Linked DNA regions of Ovis aries. The protein of the gene in region 2 purifies or fractionates together with the protein of the main gene of each other region. This does not show direct contact. Links are inferred from orthologs where the notes say so. Each region holds a gene or a part of one and is shown on either strand. Other genes may lie near its edges.

Evidence for each region.
Region 1: the proteins of HMGXB4 (region 2) and C11H17orf49 purify together in Homo sapiens (affinity purification with mass spectrometry; 4 studies listed by BioGRID and IntAct, with this or other methods). This does not show direct contact. The link is inferred for Ovis aries from reciprocal best matches to the Homo sapiens genes HMGXB4 and BACC1.
Region 3: the proteins of HMGXB4 (region 2) and SMARCA5 purify together in Homo sapiens (affinity purification with mass spectrometry; 3 studies listed by BioGRID and IntAct, with this or other methods). This does not show direct contact. The link is inferred for Ovis aries from reciprocal best matches to the Homo sapiens genes HMGXB4 and SMARCA5.

Annotation. Positions count from the first base shown.
Region 1 is NC_056064.1:26,689,247-26,693,324, reverse strand, and holds C11H17orf49 (chromatin complexes subunit BAP18), read right to left. Parts: upstream 2,851-4,078; 5' UTR 2,787-2,850; coding exon 2,766-2,786; intron 2,581-2,765; coding exon 2,486-2,580; intron 1,863-2,485; coding exon 1,761-1,862; exon of another isoform or gene 1,634-1,760; intron 1,375-1,633; exon of another isoform or gene 1,086-1,374; coding exon 895-1,085; exon of another isoform or gene 668-894; coding exon 563-667; exon of another isoform or gene 356-562; coding exon 291-355; 3' UTR 82-290; downstream 1-81. Other genes in the region: RNASEK (ribonuclease kappa), read right to left, coding at 3,355-3,496, 4,063-4,078. UniProt on the Homo sapiens protein: Component of chromatin complexes such as the MLL1/MLL and NURF complexes.
Region 2 is NC_056056.1:179,123,038-179,127,349, reverse strand, and holds the start of HMGXB4 (HMG domain-containing protein 4), read right to left. Parts: upstream 2,829-4,312; 5' UTR 2,769-2,828; intron 2,318-2,768; exon of another isoform or gene 2,254-2,317; 5' UTR 2,184-2,253; coding exon 2,144-2,183; intron 1-2,143. UniProt on the Homo sapiens protein: Negatively regulates Wnt/beta-catenin signaling during development.
Region 3 is NC_056070.1:14,460,710-14,464,820, forward strand, and holds the start of SMARCA5 (SWI/SNF-related matrix-associated actin-dependent regulator of chromatin subfamily A member 5), read right to left. Parts: upstream 2,851-4,111; 5' UTR 2,631-2,850; coding exon 2,454-2,630; intron 1-2,453. UniProt on the Homo sapiens protein: ATPase that possesses intrinsic ATP-dependent nucleosome-remodeling activity.

The DNA.
Region 1 (4,078 bases), on a different chromosome or scaffold from region 2:
AGGAGGGGCTGAGCCCCGGAGGCTAAGCTGAGAGAGAAGTGTCCCCCATACTCCCGTAATGTCAGGCGGAAAGCACCAGGCTGAGAGGGAGATCTTTATTGTTTTCTGTATAAAAACGTCCATCAGTTGCGGGGGGGGACCCAGGGGTTGGGGTGCAGATGCTCATACGGGAACAGCAAGGTGGGCTGCCCCTGGCAGCCTTTCCACCCTGTCACATGCAGGCCTTGCTCAGAGTCCCAAGCGATCCACAGGTCCAGGGTGAACAGTGAGAGGGGTCAGAGGTGGAAGGCTCAGCATGAGAGCAGAGGAGGATCAGCGGAGGTCAAGAGAAGGCCAGAATCCAGGGTCAGGCTGTCTGGAACAGGAAGTAAAATGGGCCGAGATGGAGCGAGTCCCAAGTAGGACTCCCGCTTCCCCAGAGCACCTGGCTCCTTACAGACCTGACCCCTGCATGCATAGCAGGGAACTTTCTCTTCCCCAGTTCACAGGAGGGGGCTCCTGCTGAGACCCTCCCTACCATCCCCCATCCCTTCAGCTGTTGTGGGAGGAAGAGGACTCCTACCCTGGTCGAAGTTGAGTTTCTTGGCTGGAGGAGTTTCTCCTAGCCCCTCAATATCCACCAGGTCACTGTTGGCGTCCGAGTCGTTCAGAGCACTGAGTGTCACATCTGGGAGGGGGGCACAAGCTAGGTTCTAGGTTCCCTGATGGTTCTCCCCCCACCCCACCCACTTCCCAAAGTTTCAACTTCTCCTTCCCTCCCTTCCCCACCCCAGCCAGTTTCTGGAACCTTCACTGGGAGAGGAAAAGAGATCTGTCCTCTGACCAAAGCCCAACTCTCTCACTGAACCGCGGATGGGACATCTAATCCCCAGGCAGCAACTCCACAGCCCTCACCAGCCTTCTGTTTCTTTATGGGGGGACCCCCGGCCTCAGGGACACTGGAGCTGCTTGGTGGAGGAGCAGTTGAAGGAGGCGACAATACACCAGATGCCACCTTCTTGGGCCCTTTCTTGGGTGAATCGGCTGGAAGGGGGATACCAGAATCTTCATATACCTTTCGTTTCACAGTGGCCTTTATTTGAGCCCTAAAGAGACGAGAGAGCAAGTTAGGAAGGGAGTCATAAAAAAGGCTGAGAGAATAAGGGGGTGGGGGCAGGGGAGATGGGCCACTCTGAAGGAACACTGGGGAGCCCCTTCATAGGAATCCAGGTGAGGGCCTCAACGACCTTTGCTAGGGTTCTTGTTTTCCTGGAAGCTTTGCAGCCAATGAGGGCAAATGGAGCGTGAAGAGTGGAGTCCCTCAACTGAGGAGTGGGAAAGGCCCACCCCCTAATTCTCTTTTGGGAGAGATGTATGGACGTGGAAGACTACCAGGTAAGCCTGGGTGACCTACAGGTAGATTGAAACTTATTAACAGATCCTGATCGACTAGTTCAGGATCATAATATCCCTGGAAACACCACAGGAGTGTTCAAAAGATCTGTATAAATAACCAGGGAATTCCTATTAGCAAATTCAACTATTGGGTATCTTAAACTACTGGGTAACCTAAAATTAAATTCATGTAAGGTCCTGATGACCACAGCATTTTAGTAACTTCTGACCAATTGTGACAATTCTTTTATTCTTTCAGTTCTCAAGGGACTCACAGAGTAGGAAAGATGTTGAGCTGGAAGGGAGTTTGAGGAAGATGGAACAAATGGGTATGGAGGAAGAAAGCTGCCCACCCGCCCTTTCTCTGCCAGCCAGCCCTCCCTCACACTGTCCGTTCCTTGATGACACAGCTGATGTGATTAAGATCGTCCCCAAATCGCTTCACAGCAGCCCTCAGCATCTCTATCTCCGTCTCCGTCCACTTGGCACTGTCAGAAGGGGAGAGGGGAATAGCGAAAGTGGGAAGAGGAGGGATGTGGAGCCAGCCCACAGGCTACGCATTCCACAGCAACCAGCCTCCTCCCTGCAATGTCCGGGGCCCCTTCCATAAAGAGGTCCTCTTTAAAAAACAAACAAAAAAAGCAAAAAAATTCTTAAGGCCCTGTGGGAACCCTGAGGACCCCCATCCAAACGATAATGCAACAACCTTAGAAGAAAACGGCTCCCCCATCAACGTGAAACAGCTACTGTAAACAGCCCACTGAAACTAATTCAACAAGTGGGGGGGTGTCTTACCAACAGACCCCCTAAACACAATCTGTTGCAATCTGATGGAATCCCACATGATTTGGGGTGAATGGGTAGTGGTGATGGTCTATGCTCTGCCAATGCGCAGCAGGACAGAATTGTAAAATGAGTCCAGATTACGAGCCTCAGTCTGTGGTTTATCTGTCATTCATTCATTCAATAATCATTTATTAAGATCTACTCTGCGCTGTGCCAGGCACGAAGGGAAACTAACATCTGTCCCTGCCCTAGAGAGTGTCGGTGTCTGTGATCGAGTCCCAGCGTCTGATCTCAGCGTCCAGGTCCCCAGCCCGGGCTCACGTACCCCGCGGGGGAAGAATCGGCCACGGGATGCAGCTGCATCGTCAGCTCTCCGAGCTTCGTGAAGGCGGCGCCCGCCGCGGAGAAGATCTCTCCGACCTGGGGGCGGGGCAGCGTTACGGGGGGCCGGCGCACAGCCCCGCGCCGTCCCGCCCGGAGCCCCTAGCCCCACCCCAGGTTGGACTCCCGCCCGCCCCCCGCCCGGGACGGAAGAGCCGCGAGCCAACTGGGGGGCCCGCCCTCCCGTGGCCGCCAGGGAGCGCTGTCCGCGAGGGAGGTCGAACCTTTGTGGACGCTGACGTCATGGCCCCGCGCGCCTCCTCACGGAGACGCCGCCGCCGCCGCTACCTCGGAGCCGGGACCGCGAAGAGCGAGGCGGTGCAACGGCTCCAGCCCCCGCGCAGGAAGTCCCGCCCCTTCCCGCAGCTGATTGGCTCCAGTTCGGGCGCTCACCGCCTCACCAGCCGCGGTTACTCAGGCCGCCTCAGCGCGCGGGAAGGAGAGTGGAAGACACCGCCTCACTTCCGGCCCGGTTTCACTCCACTTCCGTCTAGGGGTCGGGATTCCCTATTTGGAGACCGACCTCTAGCCCGGGTACCCGCCTCCTAACCCAGACACACACACAAGTCTTAAGAGAGCAGTTTCTCTTTATTGTGGAACGGGACGAGGCGAGAGGGCCGGAGGGACAGGGAACGGCCAACCCCAACCTCCCTCCACAGAAGCCGGGCGCCAGAGGTTGGAGAACAAGGGATTGAGTCTCTCGCCAAGAAAACCTAGTCCGCAGAGGGCACCAGAATGGGAGGCGGGGGGCTGTGACCTGGGGAGAGTCTTTAAATAGAGGAGGGGGCTGGAGAGGGGGAGCGCCACTGTGCTCTAGCGCACCATGTATTCCTTGCGCTTATTGAGCCGAACTTGACAGAAAGAGAAGCCTCCGAGGAGGAGGTAAAGGCCCGCCGCGATGAAACAGTTGTAGCTGACTTGCTCGTAAAGGTTGTATATGTTCTGGGGGCCATTCCTAGGGGTGGGGATTAGGCAGAGAAATATCAGAAACATTAACAGCACACATTTACGGAACACTTACTATGTGCCCTGTACCCTTCTAAACGCTTTAATGTGTATTATCTTATTCAATCTTCATAACCCTTTGGGGGAGAGTTCTGTTATAGCATCCACTTTGCAGGGGTGGACGGAGGCACAGAGAAATCCAGTAAAATTCTTTTTTTTTTTTCTATGAATTAACTGATTTATTTTTCATAACAGCCCTATAAAGGAGGTGTTATGAGCATCCTCAAAAAATATGGAACGCTTCACGAATTTGCGTGTCATCCTTGCGCAGGGGCCATGCTAATCTTCTCTGTATCGTTCCAATTTTAGTATATGTGCTGCCGAAGCGAGCACCAGTAAAATTCTTAACAGCCACATTTAAAGCGGTGGGTTTAGGATGGTCTCTGAAGTCTGACTCCCAAGACTGTTCCCGGGTGCTAGAGAGAGCACCGTTTCCCAGCCACCGCGGCCCAAGCGTCTAGCCTCCTGCGATTCTCCGCCCCCAATTCTGACCACATCCCCTGCCTCTCCACTTACTCAAAATCTTTCTCCG
Region 2 (4,312 bases):
AAATAACAGGCAAAAAAATCTGAAATATTCAACGCCAATGCGGCCACCAATCTGTGGTCAAGAACAAAATGCTCTTCTGTATGAAGTGAAGGCAGGTCCTGAGACTTATAACCAGGCCTTCCCTTTGGAAATATCAAAACTAACATAAAACAGAGCTGAACAACTAACAGTCAGAATAGGAATAAGTAGCTCTGAAGACAGCTCCAGAAAGAAAACAATGATGTCACTTACTGGACTATGAAAAGGCACTCACGGTCTCTTAACTGACTGCTTTGAAAAACAACCAGTGGATGAAAAAACTGTACGAGGGAACAGAAAATTAGGGGCTGGTCCTCAGAGGCACAGAACAGCACAGAAAACGTGTGCTGGTGCTGGCATTTTGTATTACAATTAGGTCTGCTATTATTTAATTTTTCTAAAGACACAGGAGGAGCATTTTATAAATTACAAGATTAAATAACCTATGGTAAAAAATAAACGGGGCCTGAAGGCAAGTCCAACTCAGTAAAGAACTGGGACAGTCAAGAGCTTAAAAAACTAAAATTAGATACAATGGTCTCACTCACTCACAGCTTGGGCAGACTGATGGACCCTGAACTTCTAGGTTCTTTCAAGTGAGGATATTATTGCAACCCAGGAGTTAGTTTTGGATGCTGACTCATAGAAGGAAGATGAAACCAGATAAAGAAGTCTCAAGCAACAGTGTGGAGGAAAGGCAAAGTTAGGGCAACATTTATATAAGATAACTCTCCTGATGTTCTTTCCAGGTCTTGAACATTATCCATGATAAATTCAGAGTCCAGGCTTAGGCAGCAGATTGTGAGGATTAATGAAATTGAAAAATATTAGGCTGGATATTCACATTAGAAAATAGAGGCCATAATTACATTAAATGTTGGCAAATGTAAAAACTCATTTAGATGTTTAAAGCTCATTCTCCGGAACTCCATAAATTTTGGTGTGTACAGAATTCAAAATTGTCAACTTCAAGAGGCAGGATAATTTTACAATTATGTTCCTTTCAGTGGGTTAGGAAATGACAACAGAAGTAAAAGTTCATTATTTATGTTGTTTGTGGAAGTAAGAAACATGCCATCATGAAAAATGTGTACTTTTGGAAGGTGAAAATTATCAAACTTGTGGACTTCTCTTCAAGAGATGAAAAAGGAGACAGAGCTACTCTTCCACTTGTAGGTAAGTATAGGGTGATGTTTAGGCTTTGCTTTCGGAGTTATCAAAGCAATCAGGAAAAAAGGGGAAATCATCAGACATAGTACTTTGTTATTTTGAAAGCCTAAATTAAAAGTACTTTGGAAAAAAAGTTTCAGAAGATGGTGTTTTGAGGTCATCTCAGCCCCAGCATTCACTAGCAAGCTTCTTCATCCCAAAATGTAAGTGTGTTTTGAAAAAGACAAAGAAAGCCTCGGAAACCCGAGGCAGTACGCGAAGTCCTGAGGCGCGGGTCCAGTTCAAGAGGCAAGTCTTGTTCAAGATTTTCAAGATCCACGTTCTCTTCTTCCAGCCCTTCTTTCAGGAACTCAAGCTGCCAGTCGGTGCAGGAAAAGGAAGATGCACATACAGCTGTTGCCAGTTTCTGAATTGCTGCTGTTGTTACTTTGAGGATAGGAGCAGGGGATGCCTTCTCATTTTCGCCCAAATTTCCTCCAATCTCAGGACGCAGAGACTCGGAATTCTTGCCACTCCCTTCTCCAAGAACCTACCTATGCAGCACTCACAGCCCCTGCCAGCTCTGGAAACTGCAGAGATCCCGGCAGCCAGGGTTGGGGATTGAATCCTCTCATTGGGATGCAATTGAGCGGAACCACGACCACCACACAGATCTGCTGACAACACACATTTCCAAAAAAACCCAGCGGTACAAATTTTGACAAGCCTTATCCAATCAACAGGCTCTACTCTAGATTCAGTGGTTTTTGTTTTTAAATTCTGCTATGGGGTAATATAATCAGCAACCAACTTAGCCATCAGGTAGCAGAGAGATAAGATGGTTCTCCTCTTCTGCCCGATAGAAAAATTAAGTGAAATCTACTAGCAACAGCTTTGGGGGGGAAATGGGTCTGGATGGAGCAGATCCCACTAAGGAAGGCACGTTCAAACTGGGTCGCACGCAAAGATTACATACCACACAGGTTATTGCTACAAAGAGCCCCCAAGACCACCATTTTTGTGGTCCCCACGGCAAACCAACGGGATTCTCTTGGCAGTTTTGCAGCAACAGCTAGTTCAACAAAGCTGGGCGAAGAGGGGAAAAAAAAGAAAGCTCGTCGCATCCACTCCTGCCAGCCGCGCCCCGGCCCTCCCGTCACCCCGGCTCCCTTGCCCCTTGACAGCCCGGGGACCCTGTGTTCCAGGTCCTGAGCCGCAAGGCGGCCGCGACCCGGGTTCCCGCGTCCCGGCGGCTCCAGGCGCCCCCGAGGGCGGAGACGGCCGGGCAGGGGGAGGGGCGGCCTCGGCCCGCGGGCCCCCGGGGCGGCCGCACGCCCCCTCCCGGCCCGCACTTTCCCGCCTTCCCCATTTGAACAGCTCCCGCCCGCCTTCCTCCTTCGGCCCGCTCCAGCCCCTTCCCGGGGGCGGACTGCGGCCGCTACTCCAGTCCCCGGCTCGGCCCCTGGGCTAGGCCGCGAAGGGCCCGGGGCGCTCTCGGGGCGGTGTCGCGGCCCGAGGCGGCGGGTGGCGGCGGGGCGGGGCCGCTGCCGCCTGGGGGTGGGGGCCTAGCTCGGCCTCGTGGGGGCTCCGCTCGCCGCTACCTTCACTAGGCTCGCCCGGATCCCGCCTCAGCGCCGCCGACCGCCGCCATCTTGGAGAAGGAGAGAAAAGCGCGAGCGACCAGGGAGCCTCAGTCGAGCCCAGAGCGCAGACTCTGCTTGGGAAGGGGAATCCCGCTGGTGCAAGAGCGCCGAGCGCATCGAATGAGACGCTGGGCTTGCTGAGCCCCAGAGCTAGTCTGTAATAAGAATTTGTCCTGTGTCAGGCTTGGGCTAGAAGCTTTACGAACAGGACGGCATTTGATCCTCACTGCATCTCTGTGAGGTAGGTTCTGTCACATTTTACAGATCAGAAATGGGGTTCAGAGGGAGGGGTTAAGTGACTTGCCCAAGGATACACAGGTAGTTGGAGTGCAAGACAGGCTACCAGCCACTTCTAAGAGTTCTGATTCTTACTGAAGTGCTCTTTCCAAAAGACTCTGCTGTTTCCTTCAATATATTTTTATACAATAACTCTTGTCTTTGCAAAGTCGTGCAGATTAATACCAGTGCTGCTTGTCTGGAATTTAGCATCTGCATTTAGATGACTGGCGTATTTGGGATGAGGTAGGCAGAATATATCTTTATAACAATGCACTGAAAAATAATTTGCATGGCAAGTCATCTGCATTTCTCCCCATAAATCGTTTGCATTTCAAAGTTAGAAACAGTTTTCAGAGAAATGAAGAGTTGCTACACAAAGGAAGGAAAGTGTTTTGTTTTTTCCCCATTTTGCTCTGGGGAATTTAGATCAATGGGTAGAAGTTACAGTGTGCAGCTCTTGGTTCAGTATGAAGACGAATTAATTTTTCCAGCGCAGTTCAGTTATGTTTGACTACTTTGTAAGGTAGTGAGCTCCCTGAAGAAGCCTAAGCAGAAGCTAGTGTCATAGTTTCTGTGGAGCAGGGAGTATAGAGATATAGAATGGCATCTCAGTTCAGTTCAGTCGCCCAGTGGTGTCCGACTCTTTGTGACCCCATGAACTGCAGTGCACCAGGCCTCCCTGTCCATCACCAACTCCTGGAGTCCACCCAAACCCATGTCCATTGTGTCGGTGATGCCATCCAACCGTCTCATCCTCTGTCATCCCCTTCTCCTGCCCTAAATCTTTCCTAGCATCAGGGTCTTTTCCAATGAATCAGCTGTTCGCATCAGGTGGCCAAAGTACTGGAGTTTCAGCTTCAACATCAGTCCCTCCAATGAATACCCAGGACTGATCTCCTTTAGGATAGACTGGTTGGATCTCCTTGCAGTCCAAGGAACTCTCAAGAGTCTTCTCCAACACCACAGTTCAAAAGCATCAATTCTTCTGCGCTCAGCTTTCTTTATAGTCCAACTCTCACATCCATAAATGACTACTGGAAAAACCATAGTCTTGACTAGATGGACCTTTGTTGGCAAAGTAATGTCTCTGCTTTTTAATATGCTGTCTAGGTTGGTCATAACTTTCCTTCCAAGGAGCAAGCGTCTTTTAATTTCATGGCTGCAATCACCATCTGCAGTGATTTTGGAGCCCAGAAAAAACAGGCAGCCACTATTTCCACTCT
Region 3 (4,111 bases), on a different chromosome or scaffold from region 2:
GTACCTACCTATCAGTCCAGGTAGGTATGAGAAATGAGAATGAACCAAGACAGGCCCCATTCAGGTTGCCAAAAAGATCATACTAATTAAAAAATGTGACTGCTCCCATGACCTACCAATACCAAGCAAAAAAAAAAAAGAAATAACCTAATACATAGGAAAGCTAACTAATGTTCCTAGGAAAGTGGGCTTTGTCAGAAAATAAATGATTTTGGAAAAATGCAGCTTAAAAACAAACAAACAAAAAACCATACTATAATATGAAGGAAAAAAACAAAAACTAGTCAGTGAAAAGACTGGTAAAAGATAAAATCACTGATGTTACTATCCTGAGAAAAGGAAAAATAATGAAGCCATTTTTCAATAAATGAAATTGTTAAACAACACATTTTTGGTAAAAATATGACAGGGAAAGATATTCGGGGAAGGGTCAGCTTCAGAGCCAGATGTGGGTTCTATCACAGATTCTACTTACAAGAAGACTCAATTTCCCCATCTGGCAAAAATACTACTGACAGTCAGCTGGTACTTGTTACAACATTACTGTTCATAGTTAAACTCTAATTCCACTTCACCTTAAAAACAGCAACTGAAAGGCAAAACATTTAGTTTAGGCTTTAAATTATTCCGCTTTCTGATATTTCCTTAACACTTCTAGTGAGACTGAGACTTTGGCTGCTACTCCAAAATTCGAATGATAGCCTCTTTTGAGAGGCTGACAACAGTGGACAGCAATTTGCAAAGAAGCGCGGTTCGTGCTCAGTCGCTTCAGCTTTGTCTGACTCTGCCACCTCGCCAGGCTCTTTGTAGCGCGCCAGGCTCTTCCGTCCATGGGATTCTTCAGGCAAGAACACTGGAGTGGGTTGCCATGCCTCCCCTCCAGGGGATCTTCCCAACCCAGGGATCGAACCCGCGTCTCTTTTGTCTCTTGCACTGGCAGGCGGGTTCTTTACCGCTAGCGCCACCTGGGAAGCCCTGAGAACTGCGTATTTAACACAACTGCTTTCAGTGTCAAACTTTCAAAGCCCCTTAAACAAGGAAGCGGGAATCCAAGTTAACCCTAGCAATTCAAAACAATCATTTAAAACCTAAAGAAAAAGAAAACAAGCAACACTGACATGAACTGAAAACAAATTTCAAGTCGCTGAAAGCTATAGAATACCAGAGGTCCTATTCCACCAAAACCCACCCTTACCTTTAAAGTTCTTTCAAAAACTAATAACACGTTACCTCACCCTAGATAAGGCCGCTAGTTACACAGAGTAGGACTCCACTGAACTGACTTATGACCTAGTACAGCACCCAAATAAAACTACTGAGCCAAATGCTCTATGGTAAACTGCCCTGCCATTTCCTTATCGTGTTAATTCTGCAGCAACATTCCCTTTCAGAGCAGTATTACCTTTGCTCAATCTATCCAAGGATGGAAAAATTCCAGAAATCTCTGGGTTGCGACTATAAAATATCTCAAAACAGATCGAAGGCCAAGAATAAAATTGGAAGGAGCAAGCAACACTTTGTTCCCAGACATCGCAAAACCTTGGAGCACACCCAAAAGACCCGCCTGGCAGTTCCCCAATCTCTCCACCCTCGCAGTACTGTTACCATTCCCTGACCCACCAGCCCCAGCCCAGAAGGTAGGGAGCCATAGAGAACGGTACCAATTTTCAAAATAAGGCCAAGGCCCCCAAAGAGGAAATGCGCTGGTCTGTAAGCAAACTAACCGCCCCTCACTCACTAATTCATTCATCCATCCATCCATCACTCCCCCCACAAAATGAAATGGGGGTTCAAGACAGCTGCTGCCGCCGTGGTCGCTTCCCTTCCCCACGGAACAGTGCCTGGGAGGAGCCTCCTCTCCCTCCGAGGGAGCAGCTGTGCCCCGCTTATCCCCACTGCGCCCTCGGCCATCCAGCCCTCGCCATTGTTTCTGCGAAACAGATACCGCCCCCGCAAAGAACGGGATGAAGAAAAGGAGGCCCAAGCCCTCGGATGCGCTGCTTTTAAATGCCTTCCCCACCCCGCCTGTCTACCCCCGTACCTAGAGGGAAATTTCCCTCGCCCTCTCCCCAAGTTTAGCGGAAAGTAAAATCGAGATTCAGAGATGAGCGAGGGAATTATGGGAGTCCAGCTTAAAAAAAAAAAAAAAAAGGGTAGATCTTCACTCGGCCTCAGTAATCAAGAACATGTGTCTAATAAGAGCGTTCGAGGATTTGGCAAGGTTCGCCAAAGAGACAAATAATATAAACGTGAAGTGCCAGAAATCCACTTGAGGTTGCCTGGATTGCTTACGCGCAAGGGTGAGAGCATCATTTCCGACCCAAACGGTCTGAGGCCGTGTTGGAGTGCGAAGGGGTGAAGTTTGGCTCTGCGTCTCATCACTAGTACAGAGGCGAGGGAACCAGTTCCTCCTCCCCATCCTGCCCTCTTTCCACACCACGAGCCGCCCTCACCTCCATCTCCGAGTCCGCGGGGCCGGCGCTGGCCACGGAGGGAGCCGCCTGGGCTGCGACGCCCTCGGGGCCGCCTTTGTTGCTGCTGTTGCTCCCGCTGCCGGCGGCCGAGGCTGCGGGCTTGGAAGGCGCGCTCTCGGGAGGCGGGGGTGGCGGAGGGTCGGCCGCGGACGACATGATGTTCCGTCTGCGTCACCCGCTGCTGCCAGAGGCCGGGTCCGGCAGGGAGGAGGAGGAGGAGGCCTAGGCCTGGGTGGCTGCGTCGCAACGAGCAGATGGAGAAGCGAGAGGACTACCCGAAAGCCCCCTGCGCCGCGGCTCGGCGACGAGCCCAAACCAGGCCCAGCAACCTCCCCCTCTGGTCGCCCTCCTCTTCCGCGGGGCTCCGGGTTCGACCGGCGCTTTACCCCACGGCGGGAATCACGTCGACGAGAGTGGGCGGGGCCACTCGGGTCACTGAGGTCAGGGAAGGCGGGCTGATTCACAGGAGGGCGGAGGGTTGAGGGAAAAAGAAAGGAAAGCAAAGGAGGGACAGAGACTGGGAACTGGCTTAGCTGCCTCCTCTTCTTCCTCTGGTAGATATCATCTATCTCGCCAGCACTCAGTTCTACTACCTACGCCACCGACTATCAACACTCGCGAGATTGATAGTTGGCTACATGACTGGGCTCCGAGTGCGCATGCGCATTCTCCCCTCTTTGCCCTGGGCCACGCCTCCTTCGAGGCCCCAGAGAGCTCTTGGGTAAGGAATGGGCGGGGCCTCGAGGGAGAGATTGGAGACGTAGGTTTGTCCGTCGGCTTCCCGGCATGACGCGAGCGCTGTCTTCCAGGCGTTCTTAACGGCTCAGGGTCCACCGGCGCCTGGTCTGCTCTGCTTGGCAGGGATCTGCGGCACTCCCAGAAAACTTGCCCAGGTTTTGCGCCGCCTACTGCAGTATAGAGGCCTGTGCAGGCCTTAACACTTTCGCTGCCGCCGCTCATAGGTGTGACGCCAATGTGTTGAAGATGGTTTAGTTATCCCAGTTGACGTCTCTTAGGTTTTGTTGTCTAAACAAAAGGGCCCGTTGGTGTAATATTTTTTTGTCTACACGTTAGCTATAAGAATCATTTCTAAATTCCTTCTACTTCTCTTACAGAGTTAAACGATATTTTCTCTGAATTTACGTGCTAAACATAAGCAAACTGCCCATCACCATGTGAATGAGAGTCATAGATAAGAGTCATAGATAATCGGTAGATAAGAGAGGCCATGGGCTGTATCTTTTGCTCAACCACTAAATATTAAAATGTACAGACTGCTGTGCATTTCTTTCTCCTTAAGAAATACTTCGAATAATTTCCAGTGGTTACGCCTTCCACTGTCCTCAACATAGCCTGTGGGTCTTGCGCACGGATCTGCTGCAGGTTATCAAGAACATCGTGTTCTACTCAATAGAAAATCGTACTGCTGTGAATTGTTATCTGCCCTGCACAGGCTCTTATCCATCTTTGTATCCCCATATCCAGTATTCTATCAGTATGTATTGAATAGCGGAGACACACTTTTCAAGAGTTAAGATTTGAGCAAACTGTTGATTATGTTGAATTTCAAATAGAAGAGCTCTCCTTTGAATCTGTAGCCTGCAAACTTTTAACTGATCAAATGATAATTTTTAAGT